2 linked regions of the Caenorhabditis elegans genome follow. The protein of the gene in region 1 purifies or fractionates together with the protein of each later gene. This does not show direct contact. Each region holds a gene or a part of one and is shown in the gene's direction. Other genes may lie near its edges.

The links. The genes of interacting proteins can lie anywhere in the genome.
Region 2: the proteins of sftb-2 (region 1) and rsp-3 fractionate together in Caenorhabditis elegans (co-fractionation; one large-scale study listed by BioGRID). This does not show direct contact.

What each region holds. Positions count from the first base shown.
Region 1 is NC_003283.11:126,476-132,212, forward strand, and holds sftb-2 (PSP proline-rich domain-containing protein), read left to right. Parts: upstream 1-1,761; coding exon 1,762-2,052; intron 2,053-2,100; coding exon 2,101-2,878; intron 2,879-3,715; coding exon 3,716-4,359; intron 4,360-4,976; coding exon 4,977-5,072; 3' UTR 5,073-5,196; downstream 5,197-5,737. Other genes in the region: W03F9.1 (Zinc finger protein ZPR1 homolog), read right to left, coding at 23-103, 154-174; W03F9.2 (C2H2-type domain-containing protein), read right to left, coding at 614-946, 993-1,255, 1,306-1,363, 1,420-1,476.
Region 2 is NC_003281.10:12,686,201-12,689,780, reverse strand, and holds rsp-3 (putative splicing factor, arginine/serine-rich 3), read left to right. Parts: upstream 1-1,864; 5' UTR 1,865-1,874; coding exon 1,875-2,044; intron 2,045-2,091; coding exon 2,092-2,479; intron 2,480-2,545; coding exon 2,546-2,764; 3' UTR 2,765-3,080; downstream 3,081-3,580. Other genes in the region: spin-4 (Major facilitator superfamily (MFS) profile domain-containing protein), read right to left, coding at 1,012-1,152, 1,205-1,359, 1,415-1,454. UniProt on the Caenorhabditis elegans protein: Plays an essential role in embryogenesis.

The sequences.
Region 1 (5,737 bases):
AAAAACTGAATTGGACGCCTACATCTTCTTCGCACACCGGGCAGACACTATCAACAACAATTGGAGCAGCCTCATAGTCATCTGCTGACAAGTTTCTGTAGATCTGAAAAATATTTAGGAAATTGTGCCGTAAATTCTAGCAAAAACACTTACATCTTGAGAATCCGCAGCCATTTTACTTTAAAAAATGAATTTGTTGATTAAAATCGAAAATTATCTGCTTTAAAGTATTAATTTTAGAGAGAAATCTGGAAAAAACTGGAAAAATCTGGAAAAGAAAAACAAAAAAAATTCAAGTCTGCAAAGTTGCGTGACGGTGTTTGCGGACAAACGCCTGCGCCTCTTCATTTCGCGTTGTGCCTCGCGGTTTTTAATTATAAAATTTTTTAATAATTAGAATTCAGTACACATTCTTGTAAAGCCTTCCTATCTTGTGTCACTGAAGCTTTTTCGCAAAAAAAGCGCTTCCAAAGTAGCAGAAGAAACTGAGAAAAATGAATAAAACATTAAATGTCTGCGCTAAAATCTGTATTTTATTTTTATTTCAAAAAACGAATAAAAATCTTGTGATGAAGTTTTATTGACGGAAAATCGAATGAATATTTCATTTTTATCAAATTCCAACAGTATCTTGTTGCTCGTAGTCGTAGTTTCGGGATTCCAGAGACAGAAGTGCTGGATTGCCGGGCTTTTGAGCATTTGTAACCGATTTTTCTTGTGGCGGCGCTTCTTTTTCAGTTTCTGTGTGTTTTGAGATCATTTCATGGCGAAGACAGCATGGAAGATGCACTTTCACAGCTTTAAACTTGATTTTTTGAAGTTTTTCAATCATTTTCAGCCCATTTTCAAGTCGTTCTTTCGAAATTCCGAGTTGCTCGGTGGTTTTTGCATTTTCCAGACATTCGATCAACTGATTTTCCTTTGCAAAATCCGTCTGTTTGATGAGCTAAAAATTAATTAAATAAAATATAAAACGCAATACTAAATTTCACCTGAAAACTGCCAGGTTTGCCACCATGAAAATGTTCCAGGTGGTGCTTTCCTTCATCTTCGGTGTGAAAATTCAAGTTCCGGCATCCAGAGCATCGAAACGGGCGGTATATTATATGAGTCTGGAGCATGTGGAACTCGTATGCCGCCCATGTTGACCAGGCCACGGAGCAGGTTTCGCAGACAGGCCTTGGAGCATTTTCGGGAATCGATTCCCCGTAGGAGTCTGGATTGAATTCGGGAACTGATGAAGTTGGGAGTTTTCCTGAAGGTTAAAAAAAATTAATTTCACAAATAATATTTATAAATAATCACGTTTTAATGCAGAAGCTGGCTGAACAACTCGGATGGTGCACTGGCGTTGAGGGGAGCTCTGAAAAAAGAAATCTATAAAAAATGGCAGTATTTCTCAGCTTATTTGCAACTCACGAGAGTGACTAGATAATCGTCATGGTCTTGGGCTCCTGATGTAGATGGCTCTGTCATTTCAACCTGAATTTTCTGTTTTTAATCTTTTTAAAGCATTATAAAGCTTTAAAAAAATTTAAAAAAAAAAGAGAAAATTCAATGATAAAACAGTGTGCAAAAATGAGAGACGGAGAGTATTTGGCGTCGGTTTCAGTGTTTGGTACGCAAACACCGACCCATTGCGTACTCTTCGAATTAAATTTTTTTTGCGAATTTTTAGATTTTTCAACGTTTTTGCGGTTAAAAACCTCTTTTCCTCATTGAAAACTTTTCAATTTTCAACTAAATGTTTTCCTTTTTCAGATGTCAGGCGAGGATGACTACAATTCAGACGATGAGGCTAACAAGAACCTATCTAAAAAGGAGCTTCAGGAGTTGAAGAGAAAACAGCAGAAAAGCAAAAAGAAGAAGGAATCGAAGAAGAGAGCAAAAGCCACGAAGCAAGCTGAAATAGAAACACGAGAGGAGCCGAAAAAAGAGGAGGAAAATGGTGACGATCTTGACGTGGAAATCGATTATATCGGTGAAACAATTGAAATTGAGCCGGATAACCCGCACGCTCAATACTTTTCCGCAATTTTTGATGCTTTTAAGGTAACATATCACTATTTGTTAATGTTTTTCCAATATATCGGCTTCCAGATCTCCACCGACTCAGAAGACGGCTTCTCCTACGGCCATCACGTTTCCAAAGGCGAGAAAAAGGATGATTTGGGAAAAGTCGGTCAGGCCGAGCGAATTATTCAAGAGGAGATGGAAGAACGTGCCAAAGAAAACACAGAGGAGAAGCTTTCGCGTAGAAAACTCCGAATTTCTCTTCAACCGAGTATTGCAAAGCTTAAAGAGACGACACTTCGAGCCGATGTTGTTGAATGGGCCGATGTGACTTCTCGTGATCCGTATCTCCTTGTCGCAATGAAATCTTATAGAAATTCAGTTCCAGTTCCACGCCATTGGAATGCAAAGCGTAAATATCTCGCCGGAAAGCGAGGATTCGAACGGCCACCATTTGAGTTGCCAGATTTTATTAAAAGAACCGGAATTCAGGATATGAGAGAAGCGCTGCTGGAAAAAGAAGAAAGCCAGAGCCTTAAATCAAAAATGAGAGAGCGGGCCCGCCCGAAGCTTGGAAAAATCGATATTGATTATCAAAAACTTCACGACGCGTTCTTCAAATGGCAAACCAAGCCGGCTATGACAAAAATGGGCGAGCTCTACTATGAAGGAAAAGAGATGGAGGCGATGATGAGAGACAAGAAGCCGGGTGAAATGTCGGATGAGCTTAGAATTGCACTGGGAATGCCCATCGGATCGAATGCGTTCAAGTTTCCACCGCCATGGTTGATTGCGATGCAACGTTACGGACCACCGCCCAGTTTTCCGCATATTAAGATTCCTGGATTGAATGCGCCGATTCCTGGTACGGTAAAATGTTCTGGATGTACTATTTTAGAGCAGAAATCTAAAAAACATTATGAAAAATTTTACATTTCAACATAAAATTACCAAAAACCTAGAAAATTGCCTGCTAAATTTCATTTTCAACGTAAAATTAACAAATCTGTGAATTTTTGCACCTGTACCGACCACAAGAACTGAGATCGTGGCGAGACCCGCTTTAAGCGCCAAATTTTTGCAAAATGATAAATAATTTTCTTTTGATAAAAAATTTTCTTCGCATAATTTAACACACAAATATTCATAAATTCTGCCAAAAAAAATTATTATGAAATTTTCAGATATTTTTTTCGCAAAAACATGTTATCCTGAAAGAAATTAAGACAAACTTGACAATTTTATGTTCAGTAAATACATTTTACGAAAAAAAAATGTCTGAAAATTCAGAAAAAATTTGGTTTTGGTTGAAAAAATTATGAAATCAAATTTAGAAAAATAAAAAATAACTTCTTTCACGATTTTCAAGCAAAAAATACGATACTGGGTCTCGACACGACAAATTAATGTTTAATGCGAGGTGCTATATTTTGATCAATTTTTCCAAATTTATCAATTAAAAACTCAAAAAAAAAACAAGTTTTGGTAAATTTTGGGAGATGCCACATTGAAAAGTTGGTTAAATTTTCAATTTTAACGGATTGTAGGTCATTTTTTGAGCCACCATAACTTTTTTTGAGGTTTTAAAAAAGTGTGCTTATGAAATTCGGTAGTTTAAACGATTTCGAGTCTAATAAAGCAATAAAAAATTTCGACTACAACTTTAAAGCCGTAAAAATGGAAAAAAAATTGAAATTTTCAGAGGGCTGCGCATTCGGCTATCACGCAGGAGGTTGGGGAAAACCACCAGTCGACGAGTACGGACATCCTCTGTACGGAGACGTGTTCGGATTGGCCGCTCCAGCTTTCGAGCCCGAAGACGAATCGCAAATCGAGCGGCGATATTGGGGAGAGATCGGATCCGACGAGAGCAGTGACGAGGAAGAGTCGGAGGAGGAAGAACATGCCGACGATGATGATGCTGATGTTGAAGGAGGATTCCAGACACCTGCACCGGTTGAGGGAATGATCACACCATCTGGAATGACGACTGGAATCACTGGAATCGAGACTCCTGACACGATTGAGCTCCGGAAAGGAAAAGAGAGCTCTGTGCTCGGAACAGACACTCCTGCGGCTGCCTATCATATCATTCCGGAGAAGAAGAACGAACGTATCGGTGGACAAATGATGGCATCCTCCCATACTTATGATCTTTCCAAGAAGCATGCGGTTCGTGACGATGGAGTTCAGATTTCGCTGGATCCTGAGTCTATTGATATGGATGAGCAAGGACTGGCGGCTCGGTACGAGGAGCAGCTCCGAAAGCAAAAGCATCGGGATGATGATGATGAGGATCGAGAGGATTTGACGGATATGGTGGCTGAGCACGCTGCCAAACAGAATGTTAGTGTGTCGAAAAAAAAAATTTCTTGAAAATTCAAAGAAACATTTGAAATTTGTTGGAATTTCCCTAATTTTACTGTAAAAGTACTCTAGTAGTACTGTAGGATTACTGTAAAATTACTTCAGCACGCGGTGCCAATCTGTCCCATTACAGTTTGATCTACAAAAAATGCGGGAATTTTTTGCCCAAAAAAAAAATGACGGCGGCACGTTTTTAACCATGCAAAATCAGTTGAGAACTCTGCGTCTCTACTCCCGCATTTTTCGGAGATCAAACCGAAAAGAGACATTCTGACACCAGTGTTCAGGAGTACTGTAGGTGTTTTGTAGTAGTAGTAAAACTTTAGGGGTACTGTAGGGATACTGTACTGTTTTTGTATTTTGAAAAAATAGTGGAGATACCGGGGTACTGTAGTTTTGAAAAAATATTTCTTTTTGAAACGATAATGGATGGGATTATGGACTTTAGGTATACTGTAGGAGTACTGTAATTTTGAAAAAAAGTGTTTTCTTTTCTTCGTTGTAGTATTGTAGGGATACTATATGAGTACTGTAAAAGTGAATATTGAAAAAATAGAAAAAAATATCGTCTCAAAAAATTAAATTTTCATTTTCAGAGAAAACGCAAAGTTCAAGATGACAAGAAGAACAAGACGTCATCATCCTCGTCGTCAGGATCCAGTGGCAAGAAGCATAAGGACTTCAAATTTTGAAAATCTGATTGTTTTAATTTATTATTTCTTTCTCTCTTTTTTTTTGTAATTTTTAAGCTTAAATTCCAATTTTTCTGTCACCCCAAATAATCGCCCCACAATTTCAATTAAATGTATTCTGTAATTGAGAGTTTTATACATTTTTGGAAAAGTTTTACTATAAGAATTTGAAAGTGCACAAAAATTGGAAAATAATTTTTTAAAAATAAAAAAAATAAATTTCAAAATGTTTCGGTTTCTCAAAAAATAAAAATTAAAAAAAGTCGAAAATCATAAGTAAATTTAGAAAATTAATTTTAAAAAAAACGTGTTTCGTTTTGCTTCCAGAAATAATCGAAAATAAAAAAAACTTTATTTTTTTAGAATTGCAAAAAGCGGGTCCCACCACGAAAATGTCAAGCTACAGTAACCCCATTTTCGTCGCGAGACCCAAAATTTCCAAAGTTAAAGGAACCTAGTCATGATTATACTTATTTCAAAGCTCTCAATGAGCTGAATTCAGATTTTGCAATATTTTTTTGAAATTTCGATGCGTTTCGTTGCGGGACTCAAAATTTGGAGAATTTCAAAAATTGGCAAAACATAGTCAGCTAAATTCAAATTTTGCAGTAATTTTTTTTCTAATTTTTCTAATGTACTTTCACTGAACAATTAATTAAAATTTC
Region 2 (3,580 bases), on another chromosome or scaffold:
ATTATTCACGAAAAATTGTCCCAAAAATCACCATTTTTTGCCCATTTTTCATTGAAAAAGTTTCTCAATTATCGCCTTTTGCATGTTTTTTTTTCCATTTTTTTCAGGTTTTTTAAAGCTAAAATTATGGCTCAGGGCCTGCGTGAAATCAAAGAGCATAAGGCGCAGATTGAGGCAGGCGAAGGTCACCTTGAGGTCAGGCAGGCAGGCGTTTCAACGCCTACCTGGAAGCCCTATCTTAAATGGCCGGAAATCAGTATTTTTTGGATTTTTCAAAAAAATTGAAAAAAAAACTCCATTTTTTCTGATTTTTGGACATTTTCCGCTTTTTTAAGAATATTTTTCACAAAAATCAATTTTTTGGAGAAAAAACGCATTATTCACTTGAGGGATTTTTCAAAAAAATTGCAAAAAAATTTTTTTTTTTTTTTTTAGTTTTTTCTCAGAATTTTGGACATTTTCCGCTTTTTTAAAGAATATTTTTCACAAAAATCCAAATTTGTGTTCTTTTTTTGGTGAAAAATGCATTAATTGCCCCAAAAAACTCAGATTTAAATTTTTTTTCTTCAAAATTTTGAAGCACTTTTTTTTTTGATATTCCAAAAAATATCTTAGAATTTTGGTAATTTTTCCGCTTTTTATAGGAATTTTTTTACAAAAATATTCTTTTTTTTCTCTTTTTATTCGATTTTCGCGGCAAAATATTCAGAATTTGTGTATTTCCAGTGAAAATTTGCCACAAAATAGCATTTTTCGCATGATTTTTGCAAAAATTGCCAAAAAAAGCGTTATAAACGTCATTTTTTATCTTCTCTCTTCTCGGTGTCATTATTCCATTATTGGATTGACCTCTAGAGCCTTCCCATCGGGCTCATTGACCTCCAGACCGCGATTTTCCCGCGTTTTTGGCTCCGCCTTTTGATCTACCACTGGAAGTGGGCTCAGACTGTCTTAGTAATTTATTCCAACATTATTTCCTTTCTATTATCGTTTTTTTCCCTTTTCCCTTACCCCTTCCCCACAAAAAGACGATGCAAAGACTGCTAAAATCCATATGCAAATTCCAGTGATCATTAGCATTTTTCGATTGTATCGATCACCCAAATATCCGAATAATGGCGCGAAAAACATGTAGAACACAATGAAAACTGTCTGAAATTATTCGGTTTTTAATTAATATTCCACAATTTTATTCAATTTTTACTTGCAAAAGGCCTTGCCCCTTATCGTCGATATCGAAAAATGTTGCAAGCCGCGACATAACTCCCACGATTGTGTATCGATCCATGTAGTTTAGCAGGTTTACGAGAAGCAGAATGGAACAAGTAACCCATTTCTTCTTTCCAGCAAGTCGGGAGGCTGAAAAAATCAAGTTTTTCGATTTAAATAATTAAATTTTCGATTAAAAACTCACCAACGTCCAAACCACTGCCTTCCTCAATTTCATTTGGCATTTAGAATTTCTGAAATTTATTATTTTTTCTTATTTTCTAATAAAAAACCGAAAACCACAAAAAATAAAAAAATACGTGACTAAAAATAACGCAGGCGCGCTCCACCGAACTCGTTCAAACTTGGCGGGAGAATGCTCATATGACGCGTTGCGGTCGCGTCGCGGTCGTTATTTTTTCGAAAACGAAGGCCGTGGCACACTCATTTCTTGTTTTTTCAGACAATTTTTATTATTTTTTCGAAGAAATGCTTGAGAATATTCATTTTTCTAAATTTTACTCGATTCTGGGTTTCTTTTCAGTCAAGTAAATGCAGTAATTTGAAGGATTTTAGGCCCAGTATTTTTTTTATTATCAATAATCTTCAGTCGCCGATTTTTTGCAAATAATCATAATTATTTCTTCATTTTCAGTGTACTAAACATGCCACGCGGCGGCTCAGAGGACCAAAAAGTCTACGTTGGCAACCTGCCAGGAGACGTCCGAGAGAAGGAAGTCGAGGACATTTTCCACAAGTATGGCCGCATCAAGTACGTCGATATCAAGTCAGGACGTGGACCGGCGTTCGCTTTCGTCGAGTTCGAAGATCACAGGTTCGTTTATTGATTTCAAATACTTTAATTAATCAATTTTATTCCAGAGATGCCGAGGATGCGGTTCGTGCTCGCGATGGCTACGAATTCGATGGCCGTCGCATTCGCGTCGAGTTCACTCGTGGAGTCGGACCACGTGGCCCAGGCGGTCGCCCACTCCAAGACGGAGGTGATCACCGCGGTGGAGACTTCCGAGGAGGACGTGGTGGTGGTCGTGGAGGTGGACCTCAGAGAAGAACCGGATACCGAGTGATCGTTGAAGGTCTTCCACCAACCGGGTCGTGGCAGGATCTTAAGGATCATATGCGTGATGCTGGAGACGTCTGCTATGCGGATGTGGCTCGAGATGGAACTGGAGTCGTCGAGTTTACTCGTTACGAGGATGTCAAGTACGCTGTTCGCAAGCTTGATGACACCAAGTTCAGATCACATGAGGTGAGTTTTTACTATTTTTGAAACTATAAAATAAATCAAAAATTGAATTAAATTTTTCTTTTTCAGGGTGAAACTGCCTACATTCGCGTTCGTGAGGACAACTCTTCTGGAGGCGGAAGCGGTGGTGGTGGCCGTGATCGTAGCCGTTCGCGCTCTCCAAGAGCCGAACGTCGTGCTTCGCCAAAGTACTCACCTCGTCGTTCTCGTTCCCGCTCTCGCAGCCGTTCCCGCTCTCGTTCTCGCTCGGCCAGTCGCAGTCCATCTCGCTCACCATCTCCACAATAAAGAGACAGCGTCTGATTCTTGAAACGGTATCGTTTTGCAATTTGAGTCGTCTGACAGAGAGTTCTGATACAACTATATCTTGCTAATTTCTTTTTTTTTGTGCTGTTTCTAATACAATTCCATGCCTCATGTTCTCCTGTTTACACACACCTTTTTCTTTTTATCGATCTTTTTGGATATATATATCCACAATTTCTTCTATTTTTTATCACCTATCCTTAATTCAAACAACCACATCCAAGTATTCATCAGCCCCACCTATTATTATTCAATAATTTCTTTTGTTGGAGGAACCACGAATAAAATGTTTTGTTTCAGCCTCCACTCCGCTTCATTCAAACTATTGGAGGAAAGGAGGAGGACTCTATAAGGAGGGAAACTAAAGGATCGCTGGACGATCAAAAGCGGGGACACACCATATCGATCGAGGATCGAATCGGTTTTTACACGATTTTCGAATCGACACACACACACACACACACACACTAGGACCCCCGGAAAAAGGATTTTATGGGAAAAGTTTTGGATTTGCCCCCTGGGTATTGTTAGGAACATAATTTAGTTAAATTTTGACCTGACGAGAGTAAAAAGAAGGAAAAATTTTACAGTTTTGGGTTCGAAAACCCCGAAATCTATTAGGAAAATCCCCTCGAATATGAGAAAAAACTAATCCGCCATGTTCAGGTGAGCCGGTGACCCGCTTCCCGGCTCACAAAAATGAATCAGCCAGGTGAGTTTCGACTTGGAATTTCGAATAAAAATTTTGAATTTTTGACTTGTGTTTTTACTTTTTTAAATTATTATTGAAAACAGAAA